3 linked regions of the Lytechinus pictus genome follow. The protein of the gene in region 1 purifies or fractionates together with the protein of each later gene. This does not show direct contact. Links are inferred from orthologs where the notes say so. Each region holds a gene or a part of one and is shown on either strand. Other genes may lie near its edges.

Region 1 (8,508 bases):
GTCATACATCGTCATCCAATCCTTGTGGACCAGGTGACCAAACTTGTAGTGGACAAAATTGGACACCCCCTGTAAGAAGAAGAGTACAAGAGGGAGGAACATTTAAGGTGAAGGGAAGAAAGACATGGAGGTGAGAAAAAGGGTGAAGGAAATACATTGATCGATAAACCACATAACTGATTCATGCCTCATTCATAGCTCAATTCATATCTTCCTGTAACATTTAATTGAACATCAAGTTATCAACCTACATGAAGGAGGCCTACAAGTTAGCGTACAGATAGAAAATGTTGCGCAAGGGGACAAGGTACATATAAAAGACAAGAGGCAACTATTGATAGTAAATTTAAAAACTTCAGTTATTACTACCAATAAGACATTCATGCAGTATACTATAAAATCAAATGAGTAATCTCTGGAGCTTACTTTTGCAATGCTTGGTTTCTCAAAAGGAGGTCGACCTAAAGGACCTTCTACCGATGGTGAGTTCATCTGCAGGATACATTTCCTCAGGAGCTGTACAAGGAATACATCAAAAAAAATTATGAGTCAAATATGTTTCACATTTTTAGACATGAAATTCTTTATTAAGCTTAACATCATGAAAAGAGCATAAGAAAGGGTAGATTTGTTTTTGCGCAAATATTCACTTTTTTAAAGCTAAAACAACAATAACATATTTGAAAAATGAGATGACATTTTCACATTTTAATTCAACTGCCCAGAGCTGAAATCCCGCCCTTGCCAATCTTCTGCATCAAGTATAACATCAAGTCAAGCGATAAAATTGAAACCCTTCAAGCTTCCATGTTCCGTAGTTGCTCAACAGATAGTGGTGCTGATTTTTTTTTTACCCGATTGCTAAGAAAGCATGTATGCTTGTAAGCAAGTAAGCAGAGGACTGACAGCTTAAGGTCCTCTCCGAGGGACCTGGTAATGAGGATAAATGCCTTACCATAGGGCACTAGCGCACCAAGTGGGAATCAAACCCGAGTGACCAGGATCCAAGCAACCCCCCCCCCACCTCCCCGCTCTACCGACTGACCGATCGCACCTCCTCATTAACCCTAATTCTCCCGGGGGGGGGGGGGCCATAATGGCCCCCCCCTCGACAATTTTCGCGATATATCTGCTGCGCAAAATTGTTTAACCTCGCCGCTCACTGACTTTTTACTTTCAAGTCTCGCGCAAATTTTGAGACCAAATTTGTGACGCCCGGGTACGCGGTTACGACATTACGCAACATTATGTAAGTGCATGTCAGACCCAAAATTGCTCATAAACGTGATTGCATGTACAAATCCAATGCAAATTGTGTATTTGGCCAGACTTCATAAATGTATCATTATTTCTACTTTTAACGATTAAACTTAATTAATTTTGCCTTGTTTATGATCAGAATTAAGTCTGGAGTGATTTCCATCGAAAAAACAACAAAAAGTAAAAAAACAAAGAAATACATAAGAAATATAAAAAAAAATAAAATACATAAGAAATTGGTCTTGGTAACAGAATTTTTTTCATTCACAATTGTTAGGAATGCTATAAAGAATATTTTCACCAAAAAATAGCATTCTAGGAGCTTTATTTAGTGAATCAGAGCAAAAAGTATGATTTCATGAATAAATTAGCATAATTAATTCATATAAAATAAAAATATATGAATTCAGTGAAATTTACCAATGCAACTGCGTAGATTACGTCATTCTCTACCATCATGCAAATTTTCATTGTGATCGCAAAATCAACGGCTGAGATCTTAAGGGGGGGCCATTATGGCCCCCCCCCCCCCCCCCCCCCCCCCGGAATGACAAGAATCAAAATACCCCGGGAGATTGAGGGTTAAGTTTTCATTCAACACTAACACATTTCTGAATACAGAAGGATGTAGTGAACTATACCTTGAACAAATGAAAGTAGACCTGCTTTGTATCGGCATCTTCTTCCTTGTGGACAGACATGAACAGGTGTTCGACATCGACTACGATGCCCAGGAGCCTGTCAATCTCCTCCTCAGCGACATCCTCTAGATGGGATACATGTTCAGCTGGAAGAAATTTGTTCACACATTGTTATTATCCGCGCCTCATAAATGCTATATATTATTATTATTATCATTATTATTATTATTATTATTGGTCATTTTGCCTCCGACGAAGATTCTGCTAGGATCGAAAGCTTAGGCCCCTTTTTGACTTTATATTATTATTATTATCATCATTATCATAAGATTGACCAATATCATAAATGGCTATTTTCTTTATCATGCATTGATATGTACAGATGTGTATATCCCCTAAGCCCTGAAAAAAAAAACATGTTAGAGCCAACCAATGTCTGTGATAAGGGACTTTTAATAGCAGAAAAGCAGTTTGAGTGGCACCCAAGCAATCATCTTGTTGCCTTTGGTTAATGCAAGGCCTGGGAGTATGGAAGATTCAGTATACTTATGTTTGGGCTATGGAACATTTAAAACAATTTAAAGGACACAATGGAGCACTGAACATAAAGTACTAATGTCTTGGTGCCCTGTAGCAATTCAGTTCATGTGTCCCACAGAAAAGTAAATTTTACTATTAATGCCTTTCTTTAATGACCTTGGATGCCTCTAAAGTGACCACTACCTTTCCTTTCCTTTCAGTGTCATAATGGCCTTGCCCCTATGAATCTTAATTCAAGCCCTATTCCTCTATTATTGTTAAAACTTAATGAATCAAGTGTACAGATGGGAGCATACATACCAAGTTGATGGCCACAGCTCTTGCATGGGTCTGATCTACTAGCCAATGGGGTTGTTATATCCAGTCTAGCTGGTTGTGTCGGTGTAGGAGGTGGATTAGGATTCTTCCAACCATTGCACTTGCATGCTTCGTCTGCCTGCAAACAACAAAAGACAACAAAATAGGCCTACTGGTTACCTTCTTCTATCATGCACAATCACAAGTCTGGTGTGGCCTATCACAAAATGATCAAAAGTAGATGCATGCGAGAGCCACCAAATTACGCAGCACTGCACAGGATATACAACGGGAAAGTTACAATTGGTATTTTCTCTTTTTTGGTCATTTTGAAGATACACTCTTTAATTTGCAAGACAATTGGCAAACTTGGAACATAACCACAGATTTCTTTGTTTCTTGCGCAGTTTTTGGCGATCCCGTTTCATAAGTCTGGGCTGAGCTACGCAAGGCTTTAGAAATATGGCGCAGATGCAGATTCTGCCTTTTTACTACAAAATTGGGCTTTCAGAGGGGATTTTGGAGTTGAATTTAAAATTAAAATCAGAATTTCCTGGCACGCTATAAACTGGCTGTGGAGATAGTGCATGTGTGTAACAAAAGTTGTTGGGGCCATTTGTGTGCCGTGGACCATGGTGACGGAATGTGCGCTGTGCTGATTTGTGAAAACAAGATTGGCAGTCAAATCCTGGTGCATGTCAAATCAGTAGAGGTGCTGGTCCAAAAATTGAGATTGTCCCAGAAAACAAGGATATCCTCATAAACCAAGACAAATGTCTTGATGCATGTAAATAGCAATTGTCCTTGTTTATGGGGATATTTTTTTTCACTTACCCCTGCGGGACATACATGCAGACAGCAAATAGGGGATTGAGAGTGCTAAAAATAGATTTGGTGACCTCAATTCCCCCAAGTTGACCGTCTATTTTGCACGACTTGCCATCTTCCAATAATCTTGTTATGAAAAATGATATGTTAAGATTGACTAGCACACTTGATTGGTGTCGGCATTTGACAAGCGAATGACTTTCCAAGATTTCTTGTGTGGAGAAATTTTTGAAAACTGAGACAGTACCTGTAAACTGTGATGATCCCAAATTTCTGACCAGTGCCTGTACTGCAAATTAAGGGTGCATTTAATAGTAATACTACTAGTCTAATGTTAGCTGATAAACAAGCTTTTTGAAAATCCTTCCTCTCCTCGTCTGATTTCTGGCTCTGTCCTGTGCCTGCTTTATTTTAATATTTTTCTTGGCCTAACGTTAAGAAGAGACTCTAGGCCTAGAGATCTATCGACTAGATCATGAGATCTATATCTTGTCTTGTCTTTTTGTTAATGCCAACAATCATTATATTAATAATGGCATATGAATGTCTAGAAATAACCATCGTTTCTGGGGGTTTATTTAACAATTTCAGATATTTTACTACAATCCCCATTCACCGACAGTAGTACGTTAGTGCGAGCCCGTATGTGTAATCATTTCTCCCAATTCAGGCATATAGTGTTTTGTCTAGATTTTTTTCTTTTTTTAGGTCTATATGACTTTATATTATCTTAAACGACGGTCCACATTTTCGTTTGATTCTTATCTTTCTTTTTATAAGTACTACGAACTATGAAATAAAAGATCGAAAATCTATGTGACCGACTGACCGATGATTTATTCCTTATTTTATCAAATATTTTGCCGGAGAGGAAAACTGGCAGATGTATATTGCTGCCTTCTACGTTCGTTGATTAAAGCTTTTGTTTTATCAAGGCTTTCTGATTAGAATTTTCGATATGCGAGCAACAAGTTCCGAGAAACGCAGCGGCACGAATCACGATATACAGCGACTTCGACTGGTAAAAACATCATTCAAGATGGCAATTTACGATGACCGTCAAAAGGATCGAGGGTGACTAAGTTTTCATCATCATTTGAAGGGAATTAGCAGTAACTGCGGTCCAAAGTGTGAAATTTGAAATTTCTTAATTTTATATATTTCCTTGTCAAGTTGGATGTAGATTCCAATTTCTTTTTTGTAAATGAGATATTTTTTAACAAAAACTGTACATTGGTTTTGTACAGGTGTAGTAAATTTGCCATGTACCTGTACTTACCCTATATGTATTAGTATGTGTATAAGTCTATGTATTGATCTATGTTCATGTACATTAAGTCTGTGTATGTGCTGTGTGTATGCGAGGAGCGCTCCTGATTGGAGGAGCCTTTATATGCTCCTACGCCTGCTACGTGTGTGCGTTGCACAGCACGTACACAAGTTGGTGCCTGGTTGGGAGAGGAGAGATTGGATCCAGACACCAGAGAGAGAAGACCCAGAGACGCCATCGAGTGAGGACATCCCAGTAGCTCCCCACTCGGCGCCATGGTCTGCAACCTAGCTATATAGAAGTCAATGTTACCTGAGTTAGTTATCTACCGTGTGGAATCCTTAGTACAAGTGTCAGGTGAGTATTAGTTGTTGTCCGTGTCTTGTACCGTCGGTAATTAACCCATTCGTGAGTTTCGTGAGTCGTAACCCTTGTCAGTGTTGTACTTGTAAGTTTAACCACTCGCCATCGTTTATCGTAACGTATCGTATCTCGTGCCATCACATCATCTGTAACCCACAACTTTCATTTTTACAACATTGGCGATTGCGAGTTTTCGGATCGTTCTGTGCGCCTGTCATTTACATTTTCATCATTTCATGTCCGTTCATACTTCATATTTGCTCATGAAAGTCATTTGTGAGTGATTTTGAAGTGTATAACGAACGGAGAGTGAGTGGGAAGTTTTCCGCTCTCTACCGAGAATTGGAAATTTGCGTGCCGTGATTGCGTGGATTCGCATGCATCTCGCACACATCTTGTTTTAGTTCTACCATTTTTTCGTACATGATATCATTTCTTGTTTGTTACAAGTGGATTTTGATATATATTTGCCATATCTAGGGAATTATTTCATATCCACTACGTTGCATTTTCATTGCAACGCACGTGGTATTCTCTGTGCACACGGTGCACACGCCCTACATTGTTTAGTTGCACTTGCATTTCTCATCGCATTCTTCGCGAGTCTCTTCTATTGTTTGGCTCGCGATCAAGAATTTCGTTCCTTGCATATTTTTGCGTCGCTTACCATCTCGTTGCTTTTGTTTGTAAATTCTTTGAAATCTGCTACTAGGCGAGGATATTTTTAGTCCGCCATTGTCTTTATAAGCTTTCTTTCAAATTCGGAACATTCACACCACACCACTTCCAAAAAAAAGTCGGGTGTGAGTATTTGGTGGATTTATTGGATTGGAAAAGTTAATTTGAACTTGAAATTTTCTCTCGATCCTCAGTAATTATTCCAGATGGTATAAGTTTCCTAGAATTTCATACTCTTGCATATCGGGCAGTGCACCAATATTTTGAGGGCGTAGAGTTGTTCATACATTTCTATAAAATTTCCAGTATATATTTTCTATCGACATTTGGCAAGTGTTTTTTACAGCCAGTTCTGTACACATTGAGTGGCAGAAAGAGTGATAGAAGTTCTAATACTCCTGGTTGCCGAGTTGAGTAATAGTCTGAATTTACTTCAAATTTTTACCCAGCTCGAAATTACACTTGTGTCGGTGGTACGTTAGAGGTGGGTTTTTCTGAATTTCAGATCTTACCTGTTACTAGAAAATAGGTGGGTTTTCTGAGCTTCGGATCTTACCTAGCTGTAACTTGAAAATATACTCTTGAATTTTGTTCTTAATCAATACACATCTTGTGAATTTTCTTTAAAGCATTTCATTCATCACATTTGATATTGTGATTGTTTCTCTTTAATAACTGTGATTGTCATTGTCTTAAATTCAATCTAAAAGTTATTGTTACTCATTGTTGCTAATTGTTCACCCACTCGGTAGAATTGTGTGTGAATATATAGACATCTATAAACTATTCCAGTGTCAGACCCGTTGGGACTGGAAAAAATAGACGTCTGAATTATTTGTGTGAATAGACTTCTGTATAATAATTCCAGTGTCAGACCCGTTGGGACTGGAAAAAATATAGACGTCTGAAATATTTGTGTGAATATACTTCTGTCAATACCAGTGTCAGACCCGTTGGGACTGTGAAAGAGAAGTCTGAATATTTTTATCTTCCCTATCAAATAATTGGTAGTTTGGGCTGGTTGGGTGTAGGCTCCATAATTTTTTTGAAATTGTGTAGTTTTGCAGAGAAACCGGTAGGCTATTAATTTCTTGATAACTTGGATATATTATTCTCTATGTTCTTCATGTTACATGTTTATATGTCGTTTTGATTCGAACTAAAATTGAATCAACACTATTGATTAATCTATGTGCTGATGGTGATTTCCATTGCTTTAGAGATTAAACTATTTGGAAGTCAAGAAGTAATAGATTGTTTTTGACAAAAAATTGACAATCTTCCCTCGATCCCTCGATCGCCTAGCTCACTCGGCGAAACACTGCCGAGCCGAATCACGTGACTCTATTTCATTGATTCTGCTAGCGACTCTCGTTGACAGAACACTGAACAGTCGATCAGAGTTAGAATTTGGGAAACTCTGATTTTATACGATTATCGTGATTGACCGTTGATTTATTCTAATGATTAGTTCTAAGTAGGAACTCGTAGAAATTGATTTTGTAATTTGATCATTCTTTTTGTAGTTAATTTTAGGTCTAACGTCGCGCGGTTTTCAACCAACACCAGCGCAACGCACCTCTCTGTCTGGCCCGTAACTCCAGGCAGGGATAACGTGCACGAACCGGCTATCGTCGCCGTGAAGGCAAATTTTGAACGAGTTTCCTTTTCGTCAGATTTTACTGACAATTTGCTGGATTTACCTGCCAATTGTCTCTTGACTCAATATTTACGCAAACTGAGCTAAATTCATTGATTTTATACTGCCATATTTCGTGTTATACTGTTAGTAGATCTTGTTAAATTTATCTTCCCAAGCTTAGCTTTGTCTGGTGTACCGGGTACCGTACATCGAGTTTAATACTAGACTACCTGTGACCGTTTGTGCAGTAGCACTTTGCAGTTTTGTATCTTTGAGATACAGTCAGTTCGACTGTCTTACTGGAAACTTAAAAGAATTTATTTAATTAATCTTCTGAGCTTACCTTCAGATTTAACGTTAACAATATTAGGTTAAAGTTAACGTTAGTCTTTTTGGATCTTTAATTTTCTTAGTGGATTAGTAAATAAGCACTGTTGTCCTGATTACTAAAAGTCTTGGAAGTTCAATTAATTTCTAACCCTAAAATACTAAAATTAGTCCAGGTTAGAAAAATCCTATTGTCTTAATTTGATATCAAATTCCATTATTACTTGGGATTTTTAGGAATCTTTGCAGCCGAAAATCTTGTTAAAACTTTAATCTCTCGGGTGTTTGTAATTTCCTGACCGTGTATACCTGGAGCCAACAAGTGCAATAGTTTGCTTTGCCTTTTGACTCGGTGTACAGCTGGTTTGAACGAGGACTTGGAATTTAATTTCAGGCCCTTAGTTCTTTGTAGGAAATTTTTCTTGGAGGTTATCCTGGATTGTCTTTCTGTCTGTTTGAAATTCAGGTTTTCTTAGTAGATTACTTTTTAACAAGCATTGTTAGATCAGGAATTTTTCTTTGGAATAATTCTTGCTTGTAAATTTAATTCCTATATGAGAGATTTAATTTCTATATTTTTAAAAGAAAGATTGTTCTCAAGTAAAGGTCAAAAAGTTCTGAATAAATTTTAATAAGGTTCTTGAAAATACTTATTTTAATTC
Region 2 (8,467 bases), on another chromosome or scaffold:
GATCTGCGAAGTAACTTCGAAAAGGACCTTGCGAAGAATGTGAAGACGGATCCAAAAGCATTCTGGAGATATGCATCTGATAATCTAAAGACCAGAAAGGGGCTTCCTGATCTCAAAAAGACGGATGGTACCTTCACTTCAACAGATGAAGAGAAAGCCGAAATCTTGAATGCTTTCTTTGAGACAACATTTACTGAAGAGGACACTTCTTCCATCCCACAGCTTGAACGCAGACAGTCAGCTGGATGCTTATCTGCTCTAGACATAACCCCAGAGGATGTACATCGCAAACTTGATCTGCTTTCCAAATTTAAGAGTGCTGGACCGGATGGTATCCATCCTTGCATTTTACGGGAAACGGCACCTTCAGTGTGTACACCATTGGCCATCATCTACACTAAGTCGTTCAAAGAAGGCAAGCTTCCTTCAGCATGGAAAGCAAGTCACGTTGTTCCAGTTTACAAGAAGGGAAACAAGTCTGAAGCCACTAATTATCGACCAATAAGTTTGACTTCAGTACCCTGTAAGATCATGGAGTCGCTGATCAGAGACAAGATCGTTGATCATCTGATGGAGAATGAACTAATCAGCGATTCCCAACATGGATTTGTCCCAGGTAGATCAACTGTTACACAGCTGCTCCAGACACTAGAGGACTGGACATCCTTACTGGATAAAGGTGAAAAGGTTGATGTTGTCTACCTAGATTTTAGAAAGGCCTTTGACAGTGTACCCCATCAACGTCTTGTGGCAAAACTAGATGCATACAACATTCAAGGGAGCTTCAAAACTTGGATTGCTGATTTTCTCAGTGGCCGAACCCAGAGGGTAGTTGTAAACAATGCCAGATCTCAGTGGTGCACGGTAAAGAGCGGGGTGCCCCAGGGTAGCGTGCTCGGCCCGACATTGTTTGTGTTGTACATCAATGATCTTTCTGATGTTATGGAATCCACTCTAAGGATCTATGCAGACGACACTAAGGCCTTCTCTTCTGTCTCCTCTCCAAATCAATGTGAAGTTTTTCAAGCAAGTTTGCACTCACTGATGGACTGGTCCTCAAAGTGGCAACTTCAATTCAACACTGACAAGTGCAGTGTTTTGCATCTTGGATCAGGTGACCAAAGAGAGCACTACAACATCGGGAGTACAGCACTGAATGCAGTTAGAGAAGAAAAGGATTTAGGGATCATCATTGACGACGATCTAAAATTCCACAAGCAAGTGTCAAATGCTGTCAATAAGGCAAACGGGGTACTAATCAGCATCAGACGTACTTTCCAGTGTCTTGATTCGACCACTATCCCCAAACTATTTAAAGGGTTAGTGCGGCCACTCCTGGAATATGGAAATGTCATCTGGTCACCACAGTACATTGCTGATGCTAAGGCTGTCGAGAGAGTTCAGAAGAGAGCAACCAAAGTAATCTCCAGGATCAAACATCTTCCATACAAGGAAAGGCTTAAACACCTGAACTTACCATCCTTGGAGTACAGAAGAAAGAGAGGTGACATGATTCAAGTGTATAAGATCACTCATGAAGTCGACAGGCTTAACCCAGACCACTTTTTTCAGCTAGCTGACAGTACTACAAGAGGTCATAGGTTCAAACTTGTAAAGCCAAGATGCAGAACAAATGTGAGAAAGCAAGCTTTTAGTCACCGAGTAGTCAATGATTGGAACTCTCTCCCAGCTGAGGTAGTTGAAGCTCCCACAGTAGACACCTTCAAAATCAGGCTAGACCGACACTGGAAAGATAAGCATTATGATTCCCACTACTCTTAACTGGATATGAGAAGTCAATTTTCACCAACTTGCCCCACTGCCTCCTTAAACTTATTGAAACTTATTGAAGCATGAAGGAAGCTGACAAAATTAGAAGATAGACCTGGAAGCTCGACTGCTAATTCAGCATTCTTCCAGTATTTGCGGTAAGGTAAGGTAAGGTAAGTCACTGGTTTTTTTTTCCTTTTAAGTTTATTTTTCCCTGTTTTGGTGCATTTCAGGCCAAAACGGAATAATAATCTTTATTTTGGTCCAGTTCTTTTTATATATTTTCATGAAATAAAGACAGAAATCGATGAGCCCCATCGGGGGGACTTTGCACTGTTAGCTCCCTAATGGCAGCTGCACGATCGCGAGCCATCACAGTGTACATACAAAGAGAAATAAAAAATTTAAAAAAATGTTTAGGCCTAGGCGGTAGGCCTACTTTAAATTAAAAAAAACTCGAAACAGACGGCTGCCAGCTATCTTGTCTAGGCAGAAGGCACGGCACAGAATGCCAGAAATATTCCCTGCATTATTTTCAGCCATCATTACATCACGTTAGTCACACTCAAACACTGACAAATGAAACAAATCAAGACAAGACACACTTGTGACAGGCAGTGGAACTGCAGTGCAGTGGAAGTGCTAGTGCCAGTGGTTGCACTTGCAATGAACTAACCCAGAGAGCTCCCGCCCGCGCAGCGGGCGGGAGCCCAGAAGCTTACCGTGTATTTTACCATTGTCACCGGACTAGGGTTATTTATGGTCTAAATATTTCTCCAAATGAATTGTGAAAACGGAAAGTATATATGGATGAAGGTCTAACGAGTGGCAGATTCCTGACATCTGGGCACAGTCTGGAACCTCAAAAAAACGAAAAGTTCTCTCCTTCTACCCAGTCTCGATCGGCCATTTTGTTACAATTTTTAACAAAAATGGCCGATCGAGACGGGGTAGAAGGAGAGAACTTTTCGTTTTTTTGAGGTTCCAGACTGTGCCCAGATGTCAGGAATCTGCCACTCGTTAGACCTTCATCCATATAATCGTGGTAATTCTATACTTTCTGTTTTCACAATTCATTTGGAGAAATATTTAGACCATAAATCACCCTAGTCCGGTGACAATGGTAAAATACACGGTAAGCTTCTGGGCTCCCGCCCGCGCAGCGGGCGGGAGCTCTCTGGGTTAGCAATGAACATGCAGTGCCAGAGTCGCCGATCGACCAGGGCCCGGGTCGCCGGCCGTGCGTACGGTTGCCTGGCTTCGCTTCAGCTAAATAGTAAATGATCGGGGATCAGTCGACTCGAGTCGATCGACTCCGAGTACGATAGCTAATCAGTACAGACTGTGAATGAAATCAAATGACTAATTTTCTATGTCATGAATTTAATGAAATGTGGTAAATACCCACCTTTCACTCAAATGAGAAACATTCTGCAGAATTAAATGCTTGTTTTCATAAAATAAAGTTTCCAACTCGATCTACGTCTGTCGTCTTCGGCCTCCGACTAACTGGTATTGGTAACGTAGATGGCGTATTCCTCTGTACAAGATGTGGCGCAGATATTGTTTAGAACTTAACTATGCAATGAATTGATTGATTGATTGGTTTATTTTATTTGGCAAGTCACCAGAACATAAAACAACAGGCTTGCACAGGATGACCCACGAAAGCTCGAAAGCTTAATTATTTCCAAAAGAAAAATCTAAAAGAGGACTAGTATGGCTAACATGACTCCGATGCATATTAAACAATAAAAATCAAAAAGGAGCAAAAAATGGAATACAAAACTTTTGACTTCAAAATGTATTTGTAGATCGTACGTGGCTGCATGTATGCATGCAGGCGCGGATCCATTATATCCCCCAAAAAACAAAAAATAATAATGATAATACAATGAAATAATATAATTATATGGGCAAGAGAAAGGGAAAGAGGTTAAAAAGAGAAGGAAAATGAAAAAGAATGAATAAAGAAAAAGTGTGAGATTAAAGAAGGTATTAAGGGAAAATGCTAATAAAGAAAAGGACAACAGTTTCATTAAAGAAAGAAAAATAATTAATCGAAAGCGAAATGGAAAAGGGAAGAAAAGAAAAAGAAGGGAGATGGAGGATGGAAAAAAAAAAATGAAAGGAATGAATTTCAAGAGAGGGTGGAGAAAAGACAAGAAGCCTATAGGAAAAGGAAGAGGGTGAAGAAAAGGGGAAAGGCGGTCAAAGGAGAAGCAAATTAAAAGAATGGAAACGGTATTTACATGGTTGAAAGGGGAAAAAAGGTAAAAAGGGGAATAAAATTTGAGAGAGCCCCTACCCCCTTGATGATTTCCATCAAATATATGGAAGATAAAAAGAAGGGAAAAAAGAAAATGAAGTAAAATTAAGCTCCACCGAGGGGTGCGAAAATTGCCCTATATGGCTCCCGAGATGCCCCTGCATGCCTGCCATCTTCTCACGGACAATGACAAAAGGAACAAGGAAAATAAGTGCATGGAAGGGAAATTAAAGGAAACTTTAAAAAAAAATGTTAAAGGTCAAGTCCACCCCAGAAAAATGTTGATGTGAATAAATAGAGAAAAACCAAACTAGCATAACGCTGAAAATTTCATCAAAATCGGATGAAAAATAAAAAATTATTTATGACATTTTTAAAGTTTTGCTTATTTTTCACAAAACAGTGATATATGCACAACTAGGTGAGTCAGTCGTTGATGTCCATCACTCACTTTTGTTTTTTATTGTTTGAATTAGGCCTATACAATATTTCATTATTTATCTATATGACAATAAGGACCAAAGGGGGACCAATTTGACTGAACCATGTCATTAAACAATGCTAATTCTACATGTTCAGGGAGGAATCAATCGTTGTATCACTTGACAATGAGGAGAAAATTAGAATATATATAATAAAATACAAAAGAAATAGTGAGTGGATGACGTCATAGTCTCCTCATTTGCATACCAGCCAGGATGTGCATATAACTATTTCGTGAAATTAAGCGAAACTTTAAAATGTCATAACTTTCTTATTTTACACCCGATTTTGATGAAATTTTCAGTGTTATGCTTGTTGGATTTTTCTCTTTTATTCAAATCAACTTTTTTGTTAGGGTGGACTTGTCCTTTTTTAATTGTGCCAAGTGTGGATATTAATTAGACCAACTGGTTATGAGACGAAATGGTTATTAGACGAAGTGATGATTGGACCAAATGGTTATTAATGGACCAAATAGTTTTTAGACGAAATGTTGATTGACGGAATGACATTTGGTGAGTGGACGAGTTGGCAGCGAGTATGCGAATTGGCAATTTACCATGCATTGAGATCACGCACGCACCATCATGACGTCATCTTCGCGGGAATCTCTGAAAATAGGTCACTGGCAAATTTTTAAGATCGGTAAGAAAGACCTGTGAACTTGAAGATTTGTGATTTTATACATTGATTTCGATTCTTTGATAGTTGATCCATTGAGAAATGATTCATTCTATATATGTGTGAATGATAAACTCTTTGATTTGAGCTTAAACTAAATTTTTATTGCTTACTAGTGCGTTGTTTGGAAGATGAAAAGAATTTACTGACAGTGATTGCTGTGAATGGGACTGTAGTGTAGATGTTCGAGTAGCTTATTACAAAAATACACACTCGTCTAACGTTAGCTCTGTACTGTAGACTGTAACAAGTGTAACCGTAAGTTGTATGATGGGGGGACCTAAACTAAAGCTACGGCTACGCGCGCACTTTGTTTTCAAACGATAAAAACTATGCCAATTTTAATATTTTAACCATTTGTCTTTCACTAATTTGTAATTAATATTCTCTTAACCAAGAAGAAAATATCACAGAACTCACTAAATTAGTATTTAGACTTTAGTAATGAGCATGATCGGTTAAGCCTTAGTTAAAGGAGAATGAAACTCTTGGAGCAAGTTAGCTTTTGTGAAAGCAGAAAAATCAAAGAATAAGATCAACAAAACTTTGAGTAAAATAGGACTAGCAATAAAAGAGTTATGAGCATTTGAATGTCGAGATCACTAATGCTATGGAGATCCTCTCATTGGCAATGCGACCAAGATCTGTGATGTCACACACGTAGAACTCTCCCATTTGGACACTGAAAATATACCCCAAAACATCTCTTTTTGCTCATTCTAATCATATGACAAACGATTCATCAATGATATAATGTTGTGAAACCTCTGTACTTGTCATCTCATAAAGAGAACACCTCACCTTGTGATAGACTCTATAAAAGTGAGAATATAAGTGAAATAAGTACTAAAGTATTGAGGGAGTTGTACGTGTGTGATATCACAGATCTTGGTCGCATTGCCGATGGGAGGATCTACATGGCACTAGTGATCTCAATATTCAAATGCTCATAACTTTCTTATTATTCATTCAATCTTCCTCAAACTTTCAACAATATGTTTCTTTGATTTTTCTCTTTGATATGGATTCAGATGGTTTCAAGGGTTTCATTCTCCTTTAAGGGTTTTTTTTTTTTTTCTATCAAAATTGCTTTTAAGATATTCTTTGATATCTCAGGTTTCAAAGAACTCGGTTTCATGAAGATTGATGAATCCGAAAGTACTGGAATAGTCCATTTTATTCGTGGGGGTGCTATTACCTCTCATCACGGACGGACATTTTTACTCAAATCAAATTCTCTCTAGTTTTATGGTTTTTAAAGTTATTCTAATTTGGTTTGGATGTTCTTGCACTCTAAACATTAATCTATAGTATTATCAAACAAAAATTAGTAGAAAAAAAATATTGGGAAGTAATTTTTTTTGGTAGGTGTGAACATTTCCATTATTGGTCAAAGTTAAGCTATTTAGATAGAAACAATAAAAATGTTCAAAAATTCTGAAAACCACATTTCTATCATGTCCGTCCGTGATATGGCACATTTAGTGGCTACCTATGTTTGTAGGTAACCATGGCAACAAACTTTTTTCATCATTCAGCATACTTTGTCCTAAGTAACCCTTCACTATAAAACAAAAAGGAACCATGTTCATCTTATTCCCAATTTGTTACAAGCCTTCAAAGTTTTCAAAATCTATCAAATGTCCGTCCGTGATGAACCGATCACGCTCTAATACGAAAAACCCGCCGTGTTTTCCGAACACCTCTTGTCTTGATTTCGTCGCCGATGTAGAAGGGGTCCTAAAGTAAGCTACGCACTCGATTTATCATGCAAAGAAATAGTATTTCCTGTGCCTTAATTTCTAAAATATGTTCGTATTATTATAGGGAAATATGAAATTAAAGTGAACATAAATAAAAAATTCCAAACATTTGCTGGTTTTCTCTGCATTCAAGAATTTATTGCAGCCTCTGTAAAAAAATTGAATAGGATCGTTCGTCACTCTGCAGTCACAGCTTCACACACAGAGCTCGAGTGCGCATTTATTTTCCCATTGAAATTGCATGCGCGATGGAGTGGTGCGTAGCTTTAGGACCCGCGCAGCTTTAGGAACCCCTACCATAACTCGGTACGTGCACTAGCTAACCCAGGGCCAGGACTCGTCCGTGTAATAGTAATACTAGTCAAACATTAGACGGCTGGCAGCCGTCTGTTTCGAGGAGTTTTTTAACATTATTATTATTTTTTGAATTTCTCGTACACAGACGGCTCGCTATCGTGCATGTGCAGCCAATAGGGGGTTAACAATGCAAAATTCCCATGTCGGGGCACATATTTGTCTTATTTCATAAAGATATATATAAAAAGAAAAACTAGATTTTAATTCGTCATGCGGACGAATTAGGTGGTCTGTCGTATAGAAAGATAAACAGGAAAAAAAATATTTAAACAGATATTAGATTGAAAAATAGATAGACAAACAGATTTACATATTCAAACAGATACATATAAGAAAGATAATAATATATATAGATGGATGGAGTGATGGATGGAGAGATAAATGATAGGTGGTTATATTAATAAAACATAGACATATAGATAGATAGAGAGACAGACATATAGATAGACAGACATATAGATAGAGAGACAGACATATAGATAGATAGAGAGACAGGCATATAGATAGATAGATAGAGAGACGATAGGTGGTTATACTAATAAAACATAGATAGACATATAGATAGAAAGAGAGACAGACAGACAGATAGATAGATAGATAGAGACAGACATATATATAGATAGAGAGACAGACATATAGAGAGATATAGAGACAGACATAGATAGATAGAGAGACGGACATATATATAGATAGAGAGACAGACATATAGATAGACAGAGAGACAGAAATATAGATAGATAGAGAGACAGACAGATAGATAGATAGACATATAGATAGATACAGAGACAGACATATAGATTGATAGAGAGACAGACATATAGATAGAGAGACAGACATATAGATAAATAGAGACAGACATATAGATATATAGAGAGACAGACATATAGATAAATAGAGACAGACATATAGATATATAGAGAGACAGACAGACAGATAGATAGATAGATAGATAGAGACAGGCAGATAGATGGATAGATAGATAGACATATATCTAAACAGATAGATACATATATATTAGACAGAGAGGGAGAGAAAGAGATCAATAGATAGATAGATAGACATATAGATATACAATGTAGGTAGATAGACAGTCAGACATATGGATAGATAGAGAGAGAGGGACATATTCAAACTGATAGATATA
Region 3 (7,818 bases), on another chromosome or scaffold:
CAGTAAACATATTTACATCTGGAAATATATAGGCCGTAGCTGTAAGTGTGACATCCGGAGGAAGAAGCATTTACACTCTTCATTTCACAAAACAGTTATATGCACATTTCGGTCGGTATGCAAATGAGGGAACTGATGACATCACTCACTCACTATTTATTTTGTATTATATTATATGCAATATGAAACATTTTGATTTTCTCGTCATTGTCATGTGAAATAAAGTTTCATTCCTCCCTGAACACGTGGAATTCCACTATTTTAACATTTTGTGGTTCAGGCAAGGAGGTTCTAATTGTCAAATTCGTAAAAATTGAAATATTGTATAATTCAAATAATGAAAAACAAAAGAAATAGTGAGTAAGTGACATCATCGACTCTCTCATTTGGATATAACTGACTCGTTCATATAACTATTTTGTGAAAAATAAGCGTAACTTTGAAATGTCATAACTTTCTTATTTTACATCCGACTTTTAATTGATGAAATTTTCAGCCTAGCATTGTGCTTGTCTGATTTTTCTCGAATGATTCAAATCAACAATTTTCTGAGGTGGACTTGACCTTTAAAAGGGAAGTTCACCCCGACAAAAGGATAGAAGAATTATTAAAAAAATAGGTTAAAGGAAAATCCGTCAAAGATCTAAAAAAAAGTTATCAGAATTAGATTTTTTTTTATTTGTGACGTCATATACGAGCAGCTTCCCATGCATCGTGAAAAAAAATTCTAGAAATGTCATTTTCTTAAAAAAATGAAAATGGATTTTATTACACCTTCAGCATATCAGCAGACAAATCATTTCATACTTACTCCTGAAAAAAGAGAATTTTTGTCATGAACCATTAAAAAAATGAAATTTATGCATTTCATATTACATAGCATATGGGGCAGCGGCAGCTGCACGTAATGTAAACGCGGATCACAAATTAAAAACTTAAAGTTATAATATTTTTCAAACTTTGATGGATTTTCCTCAAACCTTTACCGATATTTTTTTTTCTATTTTTACAACAAACTTAAAGTGACCAATTTCGCTTAATTTGTCCAAAATTGTGTTTTGGCAAAAAGGGAACAGTTATAATTTCTGTGCCCGTACCCCGGCCATTCTGAAATCTGGCCTGGATCCGCGCATTGGTGGCGGAAGCATAAAAATAGCAAATGAGACGCAGGGGCCGATCCAGCTTTAGCCATCGGGGGGGGGGGGGGTGGAAAAATACCTTCATCCACATTTTCCCCGATCGGCCGCTAAAAAAATTAAAAGCTAAATATTTTGTTTCGTTTTGAGAGGGGTATTCCTATGACTGAAATTTTAAGTGCCTCTTAGCTTTATTTTCACAAACAAGATAAGATACTCAAAAGGCCTAAATGAATAATTTTTGGAAATTTCATGTATGAACAAGATGTGTAGGCCTATATACACAAATGCAAACACAAGCCATGGCCCTGGGAAGCGGGGGTGCAGGGGATGCTTCGATCAGCACCACCCAAAATTTTCTTGGGCCCGTGCTGCATGTATTATTTTCCATAGGCAGCACCCGGAGAGGTATTCTGGGAGATGTGTAAAAATGACCTTCATTTTGTAGTGAAACCTTGCAGTGAAAACTCCTTTTTCTTTTCAAATTTACATCAGTACTCTTAGTAAAAAAATCGTTCCAAGGGCCCCGGCGCAATTCCAACCGGAAAAGGGAATACAAATTTTTGTAAAAAAAACGCAAAACGGCGCGAGCTGACTTTTTTATACTCTATTTTTAAAATAGTACTATAGGCACATTTTTTAAAAAACAAGTTGCGTTTCTTAATAATTAAAACGTACGAGCCCGGATCGCGAGCTAATTCCTGTTTTTTTTAAATTTATATATTGACTCGAAAGGAAATCTTTTAAGCACTTTTAACATTCAGGAAAAGAAGAGAATATGGGTTTCATTAAAATTATGATGCCGGCAAGAAGCGCGTGCTGATTTATTTATTTATTTTTTTTTTTTTTTTAGGGGGGGGGGGCGATTTCGACCTATGAATTTGACATTTGAGCAAATGTTATAGGCCTGATCATGAACAGGATTCGTATCTAACTATAAGCAACTCATGCGAATGTAAAGCGCGAGCCTGAAATATTTGATAGAGGCCGGCCTACACTGACTTGAAAAGTGTGCATTTCTGAAGGAGTGAAATAAACACATTTAGGCTTGATATAGAAAAAAATGATGTTTCTATTATAATCCCCCTCATAGTATAAAATCACTTTCAATTTCTCGAGAATGAATTGGGAATAATATCACACGAAAAAGGCTCTATAATCAAATCATGCTAATGGTGGAGCTGCTGTACAATCAGCGGCGTAACAGGGGTCGGTGGCCGGGGGGGGGGGGGGGGGGCAAGAGCCAAAAAATTTCCCGGTCATATCATGGTATGAACAGGTGTAATGAGGCGACTATTTTGAGAAGGCCAGACATTGCGTATCAGGCAGAATTTATCTTGTAAAAAAAGTTGCGAGCGAGCGAAGCGAGCGAGCAAAAATTTTGACCTTTTTAATACAAAAATCCAATTTTGGGATAGATTTTAACATGATATCCAGAGAATAATATATTTCACTCTTCTCTCTTTAGATTCCTTTTTTGTGGTCTGTACGCCACTGTGAACAGGATTCTTTGCGGCAGTAGCGTGAAGAGTAAAAAAAAAAAAACGAAGGGCGCAGTATAGCACATGTGCTAAAAAGCTGCTTTATATAAGTCCCGAGCGAGCGAAGCGAGCGAGAAAAAATCACCTTTTCCTGAGAATCTAACTTTGAGTTATTTTTTATTCAGTAAATAAAATCATATCCTACACTTTTCCTTTGCTTTTCTTTCCTCCTTTTTTGTTGTTCTTGTTTGTAGAACTTTTTGAAGCCATGGCCCAACCCTTCCATACGCTGTGCTGTGCGGTTGGGGTCCGGGGCGGAGCCCCCGGAACTTCTTGATATCAAAGCCATTTAAACCTCGCAGATTGCCGCTATTTTAATCAAATCGCGGGCATATACAGAATGTAGCTTTATTTTACACAACACATTTATTCAACCCAGTTGCGTAATGAACCAAATATTTTGAGGGAGCAAAACATTGCAATGTGGGAAAAATTTGTAAAAAGTCGCCAGCGTGCAAAGCGAGCTGGAAAAAAAAAATGCCCATTGTAATTAAATTCTAATTATGTGATTGATTTTTCCATTATATTCAGCAAATAACACCTTTTATTGTTTCCATTCATTTCATACGTTGTCTCCTATAATTTATTTTATTTCCTTTTGGGTGTGGAACCAAGACCCCCCCCCCCCGCCTGTCTGCCAGTGATTGAACGGGGGGCGTTATAGATGAATGTTATAAATGAAGAGCCCCCCGGTAGCTTATTTGCATAACATTTAGCAAGCTTAAAGCACAATGTTGTATGCAGTCCATTAGCTTTTGACTAATTACATTCTACCTTCGTTTCCCGCAATTGTTTGCCATTTTTTCATCTTTAATTTATTTCCCACCCTGCTATTGCATTACATAGGCCTATTTCGGAATGATTTGCTCTTTCTCATATGTTTTTCTTTCGTATATTTTTCCGCTTTCCTTCCTTTTCCATTTAAAAAAAAGTTTTTTTCTTCGTTTTCTTTTCACTTTTCCCTTTCCTTTTCCTCCTTTCCTTTTCCCCTTTCCTTCCCCTAATTTCCCTTTCTTTCTCCCACTTTTTTTGTCTTTTTCCCGTTTTTCTTTTATTTTCCCGGTGAAATCCGCCAGGGGGGGCAACTTGCCCCCCCCCCTGCCCCCCCGCCTGTTACGCCACTGTGTACAATGTGACGTTACCGGCAATATCAAAATTTACAAAATTCATGCTCCGTTATTCTTTAATTGTCGTATTTTCATCAAACTTTCAGCAAAAAATTTCTCTATATTTTTTTTTTGGCATTCATTAAAAACAACTTATCGTCAAAGTGTATATACTCCCCCTTTAATTCAAAACAATTTGAGACGTGAAGAATTTTTTATATTAAAAAAAAATGTTTTTATTCCTTTATTTATAGCTGTGCTGATCAGCCAGCATGTATGCAGCAATTAAGTGCAGTATGCGGAAACGCACTGAACTAATGGTGACGTCCACTGAGATGTGATTGTAGAAAAAAAATGATCAAGTAGAAAAAAATGATGAAGGTACGGTATCATATTCTAAATTTATCATGAGAATCAGATATTAATTTTGTTGTCACGCAACCAAGAGTAAAGACAGATTATCAAAGTAGGGTTTCCTTTGCTTCAGCCCCCCCCCCCCCCCCAATTTTCCAGAACCGTGTACAAAAACGTAAAAATCATACCATAGGATTGTGATTTTTTGCATGGGCAGCCCCCCCCCCCCCCCCCCACTTTGAAAACCGTTCCGCAGCCCCTGTAAAATCATGTTTTTTTAAGTCGAACCAATCCCAAGTGATGCAGGGCAACCAAATTCGTATCTTTGGTTTCGGTCGGCCGGTCGTCGGCGGTCGATATAGCCGGCCTAGCCTAGCCTGGAACGCGCGGCACGCGCCGTCTCTTTTTACTGGGTGATCACTGACGGGCAAAATTGCGAAAGGAACTCTGCCATCAAAATGTCAAATTCTAATTTAAAGAATGTGAAAGAGGGTAAGAAAACTGTTAAGTTTTATTTTAATCTAGCAACGATGCCACGATGTGCATACTGGCTACTAGTAGAGGGGTTAATCTTTGTATTTTTGTGTTATTCTACACTATCTTTTTTAATTACATTCACCTCAGTCCGACATGTCCATATTCATGTCGGACGAGACACACTGGCCTCTGTTCTGAGCCATAGCCAGTGGCTTCCAATTTTTCAAAACGTAACCTCTTGGAATTTACTCTGAAAGTTCCTGGAATTTTACAAAATATCTCGGAATTTAAAAAAATGATCTCTAGTCTTTCATAATATGTTATAGATCTAGTAGTTCTCTTCTACACACAAAAAAGATGAAATTCTATTTACTTTGGTCTTTGCTGTATTTTTATTTTAAATTTAAATTTTAATGAGCCAAAAATTTTGAGGGGGAGAAATATTACTAAAATAGACGTATGGCAAGTTCCCCCAAGTCTGCGTAGTCCCCCTTGTCTGCGCACACGCGTATCTGCGCGATTCTAGTAAAAGAAGATACGCAATGAGCACGAACTTTACACATGCAATACTAGGCCTAGCAATACATAGACAGGTATTCTTTAAAAAGTCCGACTCAAAATGGTGGAAAAATAATGAATTTAGGGCATTTCATATGATGGCCTCAAAATGCAGCCTTTCTCATCAAAATCCCAGAATCGTGTGCAAAGTGAATGAGTGCGCAGACAGGGGGTACCGTTTTTTTTTTCAATCTGAAAATGACTGCCCGAGGTTTTTTCAAGAAAATCCTATATTTTCTTTCATTTTTTTTAATGAGAAATTTGGTACACTTGCTCTTAATAATATAAGGAACATTATTAACTGAAAAGTTTTGTGAAATAAGAAGAAATTCATGTTAAATCTTAACTCAAATTGTTAGGTGCACAGACTTGGGACCCACCATCATAGCACTCCTAGTACCAATGAGGTCCAACATTACATGTATGGACCTCATAGGCGACATCAGTAGTATTTTTGGTTAGAAATCTCTGAGAACAGGATATTTAGGCAATTATATCACAAGTACAAGCTCTATTCCTTTCTCTTATTTAAATTATAATTTTATAGTGTAAATGCATCGTTAGCAACAACAAAAAATGAAAGAAATGAAGGGGAACTTACATTTTCACGGCTTTTTCCTGATTTTCTGGGCAGCTGCTCTTCTCTTCTGACTCGCGATCGAAGCTGATATGAAGATCACGTGATTCGCGTTCTCGTCAGCTGATCGGTTGGTTATTCTTTTCGTCAGACGTTAATAATATATATTTTATAATGCTAGCATTCATCGCTAATTTAGGTGAAAGAGATTGAAGTTAAACAGCGCCAGGTCGGAATCATAATTATTTTGGAAGAGTGTATTTATACACTCGATCTCATACCTGACGTAGACGGCGCTATTCAACAAATGCACAATCTTCAATATAAAAAATAAAACAGAAAGAACGCCTTGAACACAGGCCAAAATGCCTAACGATTTATCCGCGGCATTAACAACTATCGTAAAGGGCGCTCCATTTATCAATAAAGATGGACGCTAAGCTGTCTATGGCGACAAAATTTGCCGCAAATATTTACGAAGAATTGTGAGAAATGGTCTGAAAATGCAACAAAAGAACCGGTGAGTACCGATTAAACATTATTAAAGTTATAAATAGATTATACATACCTTGTAGATTTAGTTTTTAAGGTGATATTAGTGCTTAGTTCTAAGCTAGGGAGGCCCAAACGCGCGTGAGTGGAGTCCCAGTTTATTAGCACGGGTAAGTATTGGGGTGTCGCCTAGAGTGCATCATAGTTCTATAGACCTATCGGGCAAAAGAATTTCGAGCGAGAGATCCAATTTTGAGATAAATTTTTACATAATATTCAGAAAATATTTCTGGAATTGAAATGATAACTTCCCGGAATTTCTCACTTCCCGAAATGATCTTGGAAAATAGCAAAACTTCCCGGAATTTCCTGGATTTTGGGAAGAGTGGAAGCACTGCACTGCTCTGAGCACAACGAATCTCGCGCTCGCAATAACGTGAGTGGGCAGAGCTGAGCTGCAGTATTATCAAACAATTTCAGCATATCTGTATCTGTATTGTTGAGTCAGCAAAATAAGTCATCAAACTGCCACCATAAATAAACGAATAGGTCTAGATCTACCTACTAACATTTTTGCCCGAGATCAGTTAGAATCTAGACCTACCTGTACTTCTTGATCTAACGTGTTAGATCTACACTTTAGTTTAGTGTACTCTACACTCACAGTTCTAACTTTTTTGTTAGACCTTTTTTTTATAATGGGGTGACCATAATTTGTGCACATTTTAAAAATTATGAAGAAGATTTAAAAAACAAAATTCTCACAGTTCACACAAAATCAATCAAAATCATGAATAGATCTTACAAACAAAAGGCAAGATCCCAAAATCAAAATTGCTTGACGGAATTATGAAGTAGGTCAAGGGTTTTGCTGGTATCGCAATCTCAAAATTCCATGGCAATTGACTCATGCATGCTCGGCTGAATAAGTGTCATAAAAAGTGTAACCTTAATTTGCGCACAATCGTTTTTGCAAAGCTTTAGTAATTAAATCCAACAGACAAAGGTAAGATAATTGTATCAGATGGAGGTTAAAATGCCTAAATTTGGTTGGTATCACATTTTACTTACGTATCTGGAGACCTCTGCTTGCAAATTGGCGATTTGTCGTTGCTTGTCGAGAAGTTGGATTTTCTCAGAACAAATTTGCTGATATTTTTTCAATATTTTCACAAATTGATACGGTCTTACCTTCAAGAAAATTACCACACTGAGATTTTCAACCATGTGCAAAATTAGGTGATGCGTGAATTAAGTTCACACTACCATACAAAAACTTATCAATCAGCTGAAAAAGGCTTGTTTCACAAAAGGCTTCCAAACTAGTTAGGCTCTACTTGATGACCGACGTGCATAACCTACATAAAAAAGCGCTAGAACTTCAACTACGATCTGTATTTAGGGATGTAATGTCACAATAAAAGTAAGTTAATTCGATGTGTAAGTTGGCGCAATTAATTTTGATTGCATTAATTCTTGTGTATTTCAGAAGCGATGGACAGTACATCGTCAGAGGGTGGAGTGAATCGTGCCACACCCAACGGCTCAGAAGCAGAGATTGAGGCAGCAGCACTGCC

The links. The genes of interacting proteins can lie anywhere in the genome.
Region 2: the proteins of histone acetyltransferase KAT2B-like (region 1) and DNA polymerase epsilon subunit 3-like purify together in Drosophila melanogaster (affinity purification with mass spectrometry; 3 studies listed by BioGRID). This does not show direct contact. The link is inferred for Lytechinus pictus from reciprocal best matches to the Drosophila melanogaster genes Gcn5 and Chrac-14.
Region 3: the proteins of histone acetyltransferase KAT2B-like (region 1) and transcription initiation factor TFIID subunit 10-like purify together in Drosophila melanogaster (affinity purification with western blotting; 4 studies listed by BioGRID). This does not show direct contact. The link is inferred for Lytechinus pictus from reciprocal best matches to the Drosophila melanogaster genes Gcn5 and Taf10.

The regions. Positions count from the first base shown.
Region 1 is NC_087257.1:2,583,005-2,591,512, reverse strand, and holds the start of histone acetyltransferase KAT2B-like, read right to left. Parts: upstream 3,479-8,508; 5' UTR 2,742-3,478; intron 2,048-2,741; 5' UTR 1,962-2,047; coding exon 1,902-1,961; intron 517-1,901; coding exon 427-516; intron 70-426; coding exon 1-69.
Region 2 is NC_087259.1:11,820,615-11,829,081, forward strand, and holds the start of DNA polymerase epsilon subunit 3-like, read left to right. Parts: upstream 1-5,090; 5' UTR 5,091-5,167; intron 5,168-8,467. UniProt on the Drosophila melanogaster protein: Accessory component of the DNA polymerase epsilon complex. Participates in DNA repair and in chromosomal DNA replication. Histone-like protein which promotes nucleosome sliding of ATP-dependent nucleosome remodeling complexes.
Region 3 is NC_087258.1:11,652,713-11,660,530, forward strand, and holds the start of transcription initiation factor TFIID subunit 10-like, read left to right. Parts: upstream 1-4,441; 5' UTR 4,442-4,595; coding exon 4,596-4,629; intron 4,630-7,730; coding exon 7,731-7,818. UniProt on the Drosophila melanogaster protein: TFIID is a multimeric protein complex that plays a central role in mediating promoter responses to various activators and repressors.